Styela clava: one gene and its partner. The protein of the gene in region 1 interacts with the protein of each later gene in a biochemical or structural test. Links are inferred from orthologs where the notes say so. Each region holds a gene or a part of one and is shown in the gene's direction. Other genes may lie near its edges. The genes, in order: uncharacterized protein LOC120328357 and polyglutamine-binding protein 1-like.

Region 1 (6,442 bases):
ACATTATTTCCATACTTTGACATTAATTTTGAGAGTGTTTTTGCGTGAAATTATTGGATAAACAACACGCTGAATCAGAGCCGTAAACGACCAGCGTCGGCAAGGAGTCAATCTTTTTGCCCATAACTATTCTCACAGGATTCCTATCATTCTACCCGATACCCCATACCGCCAAGCAATCATGAAATGTTGTATTTTTTGCTTCGCATTTTTTGATCAGGCTAAATCTTGCAAGCTAGTATGTAGTCAACAACTGTGGAGCTGCAATTTGTTGACATCATTATATCACTGGATTGTTGATTTAAAACCTATTTATACCGATTTTCATGAGTGAGCAATTGCAAATTTTCGGCGTGCAAAATTGATTTTTTTTTTTTTATATGATTTTTATTAAATAAAAACAGTATTGCAATAAACAATATCGTTCAAAATCAAAAAACAATAAATAACAATATCATTTCACTCTATAGGACATGGATTTTTCGGATAGCAGCAAGATATAGCAGCAAACAATTTTAATAAATTCCTTAAACCTCAAATTATCTTACAGAATAAACATGAGAGAATTATTTTTTTTCTAAATCTCACACTTTGAAATATATATTAGGCTACATAAAGACTATAAACAAACTGGAACAAAAACACAGTTGTCAGGTTTAAGCTAAGTAATCAATGATAAAAAAACGCCATGAATTTTTTTTTTTTTCTTTTTTCATTGGATTTTTATTAAATAAAAACAATATTGCAATAAACAATATCGCCTGAAATCAAAAAAAAACAATAAATAACAGTATCATTTCAGATCACTCTATAGGACATGCATTTTTTGGATTTTCATAAATTATAAAACATTATATAGCAGCAAACAATATTAATAAATTCCTTAAATCATTCCACAGATAATTTTGGATTTTATACATAAAAACATAGAAATAAATAAATAGTAATATTACTCAATAACACAGACATAAGAGTATTTTTTCATAACATGAACATAACAGTTTTAATCAAATTATCTTACAGAATAAACATGAGAGAATTATTTTTTATTTTTTTTCTAAATCTCACGCTTTTAAATAGATATTAGGCTATATAAAGACTATAAACAAATTAGAACAAAAACACAGTTGTCAGGTTTAAGCTAAGTAATCAATGATTATATAAATAAACGCCATTTGTATTATGTATCATGATTTTACCATTTTTCATTGCGATATATTTCTCATTGTTTCGAATATCAGAAATGAATTTATAAAAAACATCAAAAACTGGTTTACGCTTTTGAATCCGACATCTATATATAAAGAAACGTGCAGCTAACAGCACACAGTTGATGAATTGCATATCAGAAATGTCATCGAAGCCAATAAAACATTCTTTCATTCCAAGATTAAAATCCAAGTTATCGGTCTTAAAGACAATCCATTGGTCTATGTCAGACCAAAATTCACTGGTGATTGGACAATAATAAAATAAATGCAAAAAGGTTTCAATATATAATTCACAGAATTCACAGAGGTTTGTTTCCACTAGTCCGAATCCATATAAAACATTATTCAGAACTATAGCTTTATAAAAAAATTTAATTTGAAACGCCATGAATTCGATCGCGTGCATTTTTGCAGAGCGCTAGCGCCCTCGGGCGTGCACCTGCCATGGAATCCAGTCTGGGGAAATTGACTACAAAGTCACTTTGCTCTTGGGCCTAATAGTGTTCGGTGATCTAGTTCAGGGGTGCACAACACGGGGCACGCGTGCCAAATTTGGCACGCCAAACGCTCAAACGTGGCACGCGAACGGTTTTGTAAAAAAAAATATTTATGATATACATTAAAATATCACGTTTATATCAAAATCAGCAGTTTTTCAGGACATTAAATTGTTTCAATAAATAGATATCCGTTATTATGTATTATTATTGAAATTTGTTTGTTTTGCATGAGTTAATTTACAATACCACAACTGTGCGTGGCACGTCACAAAATCATTTTGAAAAATTTGGCACGTATCCTCATTTGAGTTGTGCACCCCTGATCTAGTTGATCTTGTAAGTGCGACCTCTGTCTAGCATTATAGAAACAAGAAAAATAGCATTGTACAGTTGTCAGGACTCAGGATGTTGGAATTGACACGTCTAGTATAGTTTAGTACCACAAGTATCTTCCAGTGGGCGTAGCATAACAAATTTTGCATGATATGTTATTCCTAACCCCCGCCTGACTTCGTCATACGAAAATAACATCACTGCAAAGTGGCAGTGACATATTACTGAACTCCAAAGTATACGGATGGTCGAGGAGACAATCATCCAAAATCGAGCAAGCTATTTTTCTTGTCGAAACGATACCGATAACAGAGAGATCGCTGACGTTAGTGAGTTTATTATAGTCGGCACAAATGCCATTTCGGACGATCGTAACTATACTTCAGCAAGCTCTATGAGGCGATTGTGACGACGCAGTGATGTAATTTTTGGGTGACGTACTCAGGTCAGGGGGGGGTTAGGAATATCGTTGCTACGCCAACTAGAAGTACAGGCCTGGTATAGTTTAGTACCACATGTACTTCTAGTTGGCCTGGCTCAACAATTTTTGCATATGCCAATCCTAACCCCCACCTGACTACGTCACCGACATATGCCTGTATGCGAAAATTGTCGAGTCACACAGCCAGGCCAATTAGAAGTACGGTATGTATTTCAGGAGACCTGAATTTTACAACACACTGACATACAACAATTTTATGTTGATCATCAGTAGTAGGTGAATTTTGTGTGCTTGCAGAAATATGGTGGGAGCTGACTGCGATGAATTGTATGCTCCATTGTCATTTTTCTTGGTTATTGTTATGACTGTTTTTATTCTATATGTCCGTACAATCATTGAGTTTTGTAGATTTGGATCAGAGTTGATATTATCATAGATGATTGTACCCCAGTCTGGATTCCATGGTAGGTGCACTCCCGGGTACACTGGTGCTCCCCAAAAATACACACAAGCAAAATCCATTTTGCATGCCGTAAAATTCATGATTGCTCACAATTATATCTGACAGTCTGAAGGGTACAGTAGTGGAATGAAACAACCACCAATAGACAGTGCTGAAACGTTCTAACATTATAAACTGACTGATTACTGGATTACAGAGAACAAGCACCATTCGGCTTTCACGAACACACAAAAACCCATGTCGATTTACAACTAAACGGGTATCTCTTGAAACGTAGGCTAATTGCATTCCGTGTCTGTCTGCACCAAAATATTGACCTTTACCCTATGCAAAATATGCATGGTCGTCGTCAATTTTGCTAGACTGGACTCTGCTTCGAAGCGCCAGTTGGAATGTTCTGTTTAAGTAATCGAACACTTGTTTATTCAAGTTTTTATTTAAATGGGGCTGTTCTGTCAGTTGCACGCTGAGGATCTAGAAGGTCCCGGAAGGTTAGCACTTGTGCTCAAATGTTTGTCGTGTCGCATTCGCTGATTGCATGCTGAGATTTGTGATTGCCCGATTTATTGTAGTAAAAGACCATAAAATCAATACTGGCGTTAGATCGTATTTGGATACATTTTTAACCATAAAGAAACAAAACTGCATTGGTGGAAGTCCAAAGTTGCCATTCTTTTACTTTGAAATTTCAAACCAAGTTGAAAAATTACAATCCTTATTTTTTTATTTAGAATAGTATCACTGTACATGTACCGTCAAAGTATGTTATTCAAAAAACGGTCTTCTTGGTATTTTGCCAAATGTTCAGAGTCTAGAATTCTTGTATCTATTACAGTATTATTAGGACCAAGCAATGTAGACAACAAACTATTGATGGGACAAAATTCATTCATTCTGGGAAAGCAAAGGGTGCGATTTGACTAGTGATTGCATATTTTATTTATTCGATTTTTGTTAAGCAAGATAATACCTATAATGGGTATTCATATGAATTCAAATTTTCACTAAAAATTTCAGTCAATGATTAATTTAATTTACACTCTCTTTAATAGACTTCTTCTATGTGTGGATTTTGAAAATAATTATTTGTTGGCCTAAATACATAGATAACTTTTCAAAATGGGGAGAAGAGTAACTTCTACCACCAAGGGTGGGAAATTTATGAACCCCACTGATCAGGCCCGAAAGGAAGCGAGAAGGCGTGAGTTACGCAAAAATAAAAAACAAAGGCTGGCAGTGAGGCAAGCTGTAATAAAAACGAAAGATCCAAGACAAATGCTTGCTGAGTTGGACACTCTCGATGAAATGGAACTTAATCCATCTGAAAATCTTCCCTATAACGACAAAGTCGTGAAAGAAAAGCGAATCAAGTTGCTGGAAAATATTCAAAGAATCACACAATACTATCTTCGTGAGGATCCTGAGCAAGGAGCTGAATTAAAACTTCTTGTTGATAATTATAGAAAGGATCGTTTGAAGAAAGAAGTATATTATGAATCTGTGCGAAATGCTCAAAAAGTTACAATTGATAGTATTCCCCTTCCTGATGCTCCATTTCAAACTCCGCAACTCAGTGACATACCATTACCTGGAATCCAGCCACAAGGAATTTTGAAAAAGAATCCTACTTCTGTAGGATTTTTTTCTAAGACTGAAAGAAAAAAAGATCCACCAGGACCACCCCCGGGTCCTCCACCACTGAAAAAAAGATTCAAAGGTAATGCTCGTTTTCTTTATCCAAGGCCACCACCTGGAACTCCTTCGATAGAAAAGTCAATTGATAATGATAAAGATGCCTATGATCCAGAGGAAGGTCCAATATTGGGTGATGGTGGCAGTGACAGCGATGAAGAAAAAATTGCTGCTGATCATGAGGATGCAGAAAAATCTGATGATGAATTTTATCACCGCGACGATGATCTGGATGATTCTACCTCCGGAGGAAGAAAAAGAGTGCAGTCACGTGATGGAACATCAGACAATGAAGATGGCAGAGATGCGTCAAAACATGCAAGACTAGAAGACGCTTCTGGTATTACTCCACTTCAAGCTATGATGCTAAAATTGGCTGGTCAAAGTGTGCCAACAAAGGACTCAAATGAAAAAGTTGATTCGGCTGATAGTGATATACCGAGCAAAGATGTGAAAAATACAAGATTCTCTGAACCTCAACAAAAACCACCTCCTGGCCCTCCACCTGGTTTGCCTCCTGGACCTCCCAGATTACCACCAGATGTTGCTACAGGCAGAATACAGGGAAGAATGTTACCACCTGGCCCACCACCAGGCCATCCACCAACACTGCCACCTGGCCCACCACCAGGTTTGCCACCAACAATGCCAATCCGCATGGGCATGATGCCTTCAATTCGTCAGCAAATACCAGAAAGATTTAATAGAAGTATACAAGCTGAAAATCCAATCAATAACGCTAATGTTTTGAGTGCACCTCCAAGTTTGATTCAGCATCGACAAGATAAGGAAAAAGAAGGAATGCCTGCTATGATTGTTGCTAAACCAAAGATCATCAACAACCCCAAGGCAGATGTCACAAGATTTATGCCAACGTCTATTCGTGTAAAAAGACAAACTACAACGAAAATTGGACCAAACAGGCCTACCAATGTTTCTGCTCCATCATCTTCTGACAGAAATAGACAAGAGAAAAACAAAAAAGGAAAGTTGAATGCTGATGTTGCATATGACTCTTTTATGAAAGAAATGCAGGGTTTCCTTTAGATTATTCACCTATTTTTAACTGCACTGCATGGTATTTATTCTCTTTCCATCTGATAGCTACCTGCACTCCAGTGTGATTGGCTGATCGAGTGATCACAAATCAATTTTTCTGGATGTGTGGTCTTCTGAATTTTTATATGTTTTAATATGTATCATATTTAGGGTCACTGTTTAATAAACCGATATGTCAAAATTAGTTTGTCCCTTGTATTAATTTGTGGTGCTGGAGGCCACTGAAAAACATGGTCAGTCCCGCAGTTGGCCATTCCTGCTGTCGTTAAACTTTGTTTCGGTTGAAAGTTCCTCCTCGTTTTTGATGATTGAAATTTTGAAATCTTGTGTTCTTTGTGCACGAGGATAAATGAGGAATGAATCTTCAAATACACATAAAACAGTCACAATTCGCGTAACACAGAATTCCCCTTTTTCTTTTTCATCAGGATGACAGGCAGTTAAGCCCTGGTTTTCTGTAAACAAAATATTTATGCAGTACAATAAGCTCTAAGCATTACAAATGCTCTAAACTTGTACGGTGCACACATGAATATGTTTCTGATTCGCCAGCATTGGTAGAAGGTGTTATATCACTGAGGTGATTCTGGTTTATTTGCAAAGCAGCCGCGATAGATGAGAAGTTCATAACAGTTCAATTGTTCGGACGCTCAAAAGAATTTTCTGGGTCATCTCCTCTGTGCTGGTTTGGTAGGAAAGCATTTTTGCGCCGCAGGGGAAGTGAACCCACCGGCGATAACTC
Region 2 (7,079 bases), on another chromosome or scaffold:
TTTGTCAATGGTAGTTGCCATATCTCTATAATTTTTTTCTTTTTTTTATATGTTGTTTCCCTATTGCATTATTTTATAAAAGTCAATGTTTGTATGAGAGCTCCACTTAGCATAAATGGAATTAAACTTTTAACATCAGTATCTACTCCGGAAATTGGTATTTAATTAAACCAATCACTATTTGAATATTGTAAAGTTTGAATGACATTGTGTTGTTTATTTTTATTAATTCAAAAGTATTACATATGTATTATTTAAATACGGGTTTAAATTGGACAGATCTGTAAAGAATATTAGTTATTCAGACGACATCTTTATAGTAATGTTCGGAACCCTTGAAATTGGTTCAAAACTTCTTCTAATTTGTTATAAACATTTCGACGTAATATATTACCCAGGTAGCAACAATCGCATTGTTATAAAGAACCTAATTTGTCTTCTGGCAATATTAGTTCGAAATTCCAGTTTTAATTGTTATCGGACGACGATTTTAATAATGTAATTCGGCCTATGACTTCATATAAACTACATAACAGAAACAATTGACTTATGTCGTATAGAATTTTTTATAATACGTATCCAAGTCACATTATCCCCTAATAGAACATAATTTACCGTTCACAAAATGTATAAAAGCCTATGCAAAATCTATATTGACAACCAGCGGTGTTCAACCACGGCTACAATAAAGATATTCAATCACTTGACGTTGCTGTTGTATAATATTCTTTACAACCTGAAGATCTGACTGTAATATCTTTTCATGGATAGTTTATGGAATGAATTTCATGGATAGTTTACGTAGAATTATTTGTACATTATTTCATGCTGTAACAGATAACTGTAAAACACGTAGTTCCTAAATAAGAAGAATGGCTACAGGATGGTAAATACGAGATGGCAATGTCACCTAAACAAAATTCGCTCGGCGAATGACATCAGGTAGCTGATATGCCCAAAGTTAGGCTTAAAAGCATCGTTAAACGAATGTTACAATAAAAATCCTTCAATATTCAACACGCCAGTAGTCAGTCAACGATTTTTTTTGCGTTATTCAAAAAGTTACAAATATATAAAAACGTAAAACAGTAATTGTTTTTAATGTCACAGAAGCCGTATTAAACTCTCGATTATAGATCTTTCTTCATCAGTAATTGGGGATATAAATTTGAATTTATTAAGGAGATAAAACATTAAAAACACAACTTCACAAAGGAAGTGTATGAGTGAACACTAATCGAAGCTTTCAGTTTGAAAATTATTAGAAATATTGAGTATCCAATGAAAATCCTTACTATTTGTTCTATTTTGACATGATATGATTTACGTATCTTGCAATTAGGTAAAACCACAGATCTAAGAATTGAAAATTTTAAATGTCAGTTCTGAAATTAAACATGAAAAGGTTTTGTGTATTGTTTGCTACTCTTATATGTCGGGCGTATAGTTTCTTCATGTCGCGAATGAGCATCAGAATAGGTTGTGCAGAAAATGGTGCTCCCGTAGTATGTGCACAAAGTTGGCACACAACCCGAACATAGTATGTGTACCGAGATAGAGGTAATAGGTTGTGCGCCATCTTGGAGCACATAGGCTACTACGGGAGCGCCCTGAAAATACCCACATTTGCAACACCGACTTACCGAATACAAATTTTACACTTCCACAATTTCGCTTTCGATAATTTCTCACATGTATCATGATACCAACGCTTGCAAACGAAGCATTGATATTGTACGTGCTCCCGTATACATTTCGCACTTTAACAGACACTCCAATTATTATTTTCCAGAAAGCAAAATCCATGCATCGGAATGTCAGAGTATATGAGTGGCGACGATGCAGTGCGACAACGTTCCAAATGTAATTGAATTTTTGTTGACTCCGACTTGTTCAATCTTCCATCTGGGCGTTTTGAAGAGGTATGTACTCACTTCAAATATAAATACTTGCACCACCTTCGGGCAGACGTCGAATTGAAATTAGCGATAAGAATAGCACTCAATATACATCGGATTGTCTTAAAAAACATTTTACCGAGAAAGCAAAGTATAGTAAGTACTAAGTTCTGACGAAAATGATTTTATGAAATATATTGCAAAATATATGGCAACTGTAATCGAAAAAAAAAGAAAAATCAGGCACTTGCGAAATTTGACCCCTCATCACAAGTCCCAATCGTTTTTCTTTTTTACCAAAAAAGACGTCATTTCAATCATACAAAAGAGTGTATATTTTAGTTTTCTGCTTCAAAGTAAGTATAAACATCGAGAAATAGGTTTTTACAAAGTGCCTGAAATTTCACAAGTGCCTGGTTTTAGTATTTTGTGCTTGCTGTTGCCAGATTTTATCATTCCTATTCAATTTCAAATAAATCCAAAAAGTACGATGTTTATGTATATGTTGTCAAATAATATTGCTCATTGTAAAAACGCTGAAATTGTTGTAGAACTAGGAATTCTACTCAAAAAGAAATGATTAGGAAGTTCTAACTCAAATAATTTAGAAAAATTGCTGCGAAAATATATGGCAACTGTTATCGAAAATAATGAAAAATCAGGCACTTGCAAAATTTGACCCCTCATCACCAGTCCCAATCGTTTTTGTTTTTTACCAAAAAGACGTCATTTCAATCATAAAAAAGAGTGTATATTTTAGTTTTCTGCTTCAAAGTGTATAAAAACACCGAGAAATAGGTTTTTACGAAGTGCCTGAAATTTCACAAGTGCCTGGTTTTAGTATTTTGTGCTTGAGGTTGCCAGATTTTATCATTCATATTCAATTTCAAATAAATACAGAAAGTACGATGGTTGACCATATGTTGTCAAATGGTATTGCTCATTGCAATATTAAAAACGCTCAAATTGTTGTGGAACAATGAATTTGCGTTAGAAAGCAAAGTATAGTAAGTGCTGAAGCAAATAATCTAGAAAAATTGTTGCGAAAATATATGGCAACTGTTATCGAAAAAAATGAAAAATCAGGCACTTGCGAAATTTGACCCCTCATGACCAGTCCCAATCGTTCTTGTTTTTTACCAAAAAGACGTCATTTCAATCATACAAAAGAGTGTATATTTTAGTTTTCTGCTTCAAAGTAAGTAAAAACATCGAGAAATAGGTTTTTACGAAGTGCCTGAAATTTCACAAGTGCCTGGTTTTAGTATTTTGTGCTTGAGGTTGCCAGATTTTATTATTCATATTCAATTTCAAATAAATCCAGAAAGTACAATGGTTGACCATATGTTGTCAAATGGTATTACTCATTGCAATATTAAAAACGCTCAAATTGTTGTGGAACAATGAATTTGCGTTAGAAAGCAAAGAATAGTAAGTGCTGACGCAAATAATTTAAGAAAATAATTGCGAAAAAATATGGCAACTATCACCGAGAAAAATGAAAAATCAGGCACTTGCGAAATATGACACGCCTCCATCAGTCACAAACGGTATTGTATTTTACCAAAAAGTTGTAAATTCAACTATACAAAGTGTATATATTTAATTTTCTGCTTTAGAGTAATCAGATACATTGTAAAATAGGTTTTGACCAAGTGCCTGAAATTTCACAAGTGCCTGATTTCTATATTTTGTAATCAATGTTGCCACATTTTACTATTGAAAAATTATTTATACCCTAATAAATTGGAAATAATATTGTTTTATTGCAATATAGGGATGCAAAAAATTATTTAAAGTCTAATTATCTTGTCAGGTAAATTGGAAATCCCAATGACGTACAGAAAAAATAAAAAAATATCAAAGTGCCTGAAATGGTGCCTGAAAAAGTGCCTGAATTCGCGAGTGCCTGGTTTTAGGGAGACCCCATCTCGCATGAGTAATGAGTTACTGTACCGTACCGTAACCTTATCATATTTAGACAAGTTTTATATTGTTTGAAAGACAATCTTCTTGAAAACTAATCATAATTTTGAAATGAAAATAAAATTTCGCGATTATCCTACAAAAATTGTAAAACGTGGAAATTTTTTGAAAATCTTTTGAATTAACGTTACATAAACTTCATTTTGTTCTTGTTTTAATCTATTGCGATATCGACACATTTGTAGAAGTTAACAATAGCTTTTGAATGGTGCCATCATATTGAATCTATGATGCACCAGTAAAATCAGAAAATTGCATAAGCAATTTTATACAATGTTCTCCAATTCGTCACATTCAGTGTGTCTATGAAAATAAATTTTTTTCCCCACTGTATTACAATATCAGATTTAGTCAGTAGTCACCAGCTATTGACATTTGAGATTCTAACAATCAAAAAACCATGCCTCTCCCTGCAGCACTAGCTGCTAAACTTGCAAAACGCGGAATCGTTTCAAAAGAAGTTGAGGAACCAGAAGAAGAGGTTATTGCAGAAGATTACGATACAAATAAGACTAATGATGAAATTGAAGGACTTGATTCAAGGCTTGATGAATTTGGTAATTTCTTACACGAAGGTTGGGAAAAAGTTTGGGACCCGGAATACGAAACATGGTACTATTGGGACGTATCTCGTGATATGGTTAGCTGGCTACCACCTAGTGATCCTGAAGCTGTGATCACATATCCAGCAAATAGTACGAAAACTCATACAGAAGAAAAAAGAGAAAGTGAACCAAAGCGAAGTAAACCTAAATCTAAATCAAGACAGGTATTTCTGTATGTGTATGTTCTTACTCTTATACCAGTATATGAATCATTCAAGGTACCCTACAACATGCTTGTAAGTTGTGACTGTTATGTACAGTACATTGTTATCTGAATTGTTACTTCTGCTTCTTTATCAGTTACTACTATTGAATTTTTATTGGTTGTAATATCCTTGATATTAATCAACCACAGTTTAGTCCTAGACCAATGTATCATGTCTGCCCACTGGATGTCACACTTCATTGATTCCTGTTGGAATTCATAATCAGGAAAATAATGATATTTGATATGTGATTATATATGCATATCATGAAAATTTGATTGTATGATTTTCCTATTCCTAGTTGAATATGTTCAATATTTTATTTGGGTGGTTTAATGTAAGGTACATGTTCAAAACACTGCTTTATATTTTATGGTTAATTGGTCACTGTTATGTGGAGTAAACATTGGTTTTCATATCATCATCAATGCTAACCTGCTACAGGGTACATCTGTCGTCTAGTTCAATATTGATTCTAGTTCATTATCTATTCAATATTCAACACTAATCATCATGGATAATGTGAATATGAGGTCCTCAGTTTTCGACATAGAGCAGTGGTGTTTTGTTGAAACTGTAGCTAAACTTACCATATTAGATATGGCTATCAGAAATTTTAGTGGCTCCCGCTCCAAACGATATAATAAATCCACATTTAAAACTTTTTCAGATTTCATACAAATATGGTAATAAAATCTATTCCTTTTCAGCCTATATATTTATTTGAAATCCTTATATCATAGTTTCAAGTGCCTATGTCATGAATTTCCATTTGGACTGATTAAGAGTTTGGCTGTATGGGGTCTAATGGATAAACACGTTTTTGAGTAGTTATCAAGGTCAATAAAATATCATACTCAAAAGTTGAAAATGATCAAAATTGCATAGACTGCAATCTGCAGTGTGTATTTCTTTAAAAAAATTTATCCAAAGCCCATTACGAAATGCTGCCAACACTTGCCAATAGCAGTAAAAGATATTCAAGATTTGTGTGCCAAAAACAACCTAATTACTTTTGATCTATGAATTAACTATTTCTTCACTGTCCAATTTGTACCTGTGATATTTTTCAATTCATGCAGCTTAATAAGTTCTCCACCCCTATGAAATAGGAAAATGCAGTTTCATGCAGCGTAGTTGTGTTTTCGACGGCTAATTTTCTCACTATGCGTAGTCAAAATTTTCATATTTTTCAAGCCTTGTATGACCCTAATATCTATGTAACTTATCAGGTGCGATGGCAGAAACCGGCACCTGCTGATGATGAAATTGATCCAATGGATCCAAGTTCCTATTCTGATGCTCCTGTTGGTGATTGGAGAAGAGGACTTAAAAAATTAGATGATGCAAAGAGTGGAGTAGATTCTACTGCATCCGGTCCTTTATTTCAACAGAGACCATATCCTTCACCTGGTGAAGTTCTTAAAAGAAATAAGCAAGCTTTATCAATGACTGGTCCTCAAAAACCTCAATGATACTAGACTGGATTTACTTGCGTAATTATTGAAACAAAAGGAGCATGTGTAGCTGATGCTGGTAGTTCTCCATTTGGGTTGATGGAAGCGGTGCAATTTGATTACCAATCTGACACTGATAAGAAGATATCAAGTACACATATATGCTACTTCTATGAGATACAGTGCTTCCATGAAATGCTTCTATGTAGGAATTGTTGAATTCTAACAAATGAATCGCTTGTTTGATTGAAGCCCATCTCACTTATCATGTGCCCTTGTCACATGAATATTACAGGTGGGTTTATAACGAGTCCACATAACAGTGAAGAATCAATATTTTGCAAATGATATAGATACAATTTAACTTACGGTAACTATGATGGATTTTTATAAATTTTAAAGCATTTGTCTTATATGTTAAGTTTGATGTTTAAAACTTTCACCTTCAGAAATTTTCAAACATTGTTTTTGGTTTCATCTGTTTTTCAAATACCAAAAAGCTTTTGTGCCACTCTTCGAGTCTTCGTATATTTGTTTATACCAGACAAGTTTTTAGATAAAATGCTCAAATAAAAAATTGAAATCCTGATTGATAATGATAAGATTTAATAGAAAATCCTACTTTTTCATCAAAACTTCCGTTGCCTTCAGAAAAGTTGGATTGAACCGGTTATATTGATATTCTGGAATATGGGAATTTTTTTTTTCTCAACATGTCACACTAAAGTGCGTATGTGCGAAGTTTTCGTTGGTTAAGGAATTTTTGCAATATGTTAATGATGACTCCATATTCCATTTAAACGAGGTCTTTGGAGATTGGACCCGACAACTTTGGCATAGTTTATTCTAAAATCACTTGGTGTCGCATGATTGAATAGTCCAGTGGTTCCCAAACTTTTTAAAAAAAATTCCACGACGGACCCCTTT

Evidence for each region.
Region 2: the proteins of uncharacterized protein LOC120328357 (region 1) and polyglutamine-binding protein 1-like form a complex in vitro, tested with the Homo sapiens proteins (2 studies listed by BioGRID and IntAct, with this or other methods). The link is inferred for Styela clava from reciprocal best matches to the Homo sapiens genes WBP11 and PQBP1.

What each region holds. Positions count from the first base shown.
Region 1 is NC_135256.1:13,376,541-13,382,982, forward strand, and holds uncharacterized protein LOC120328357, read left to right. Parts: upstream 1-3,978; 5' UTR 3,979-4,068; coding exon 4,069-5,688; 3' UTR 5,689-5,884; downstream 5,885-6,442. UniProt on the Homo sapiens protein: Activates pre-mRNA splicing. May inhibit PP1 phosphatase activity.
Region 2 is NC_135260.1:11,813,482-11,820,560, reverse strand, and holds the start of polyglutamine-binding protein 1-like, read left to right. Parts: upstream 1-4,073; 5' UTR 4,074-4,284; coding exon 4,285-4,653; intron 4,654-5,927; coding exon 5,928-6,170; 3' UTR 6,171-7,079. UniProt on the Homo sapiens protein: Intrinsically disordered protein that acts as a scaffold, and which is involved in different processes, such as pre-mRNA splicing, transcription regulation, innate immunity and neuron development.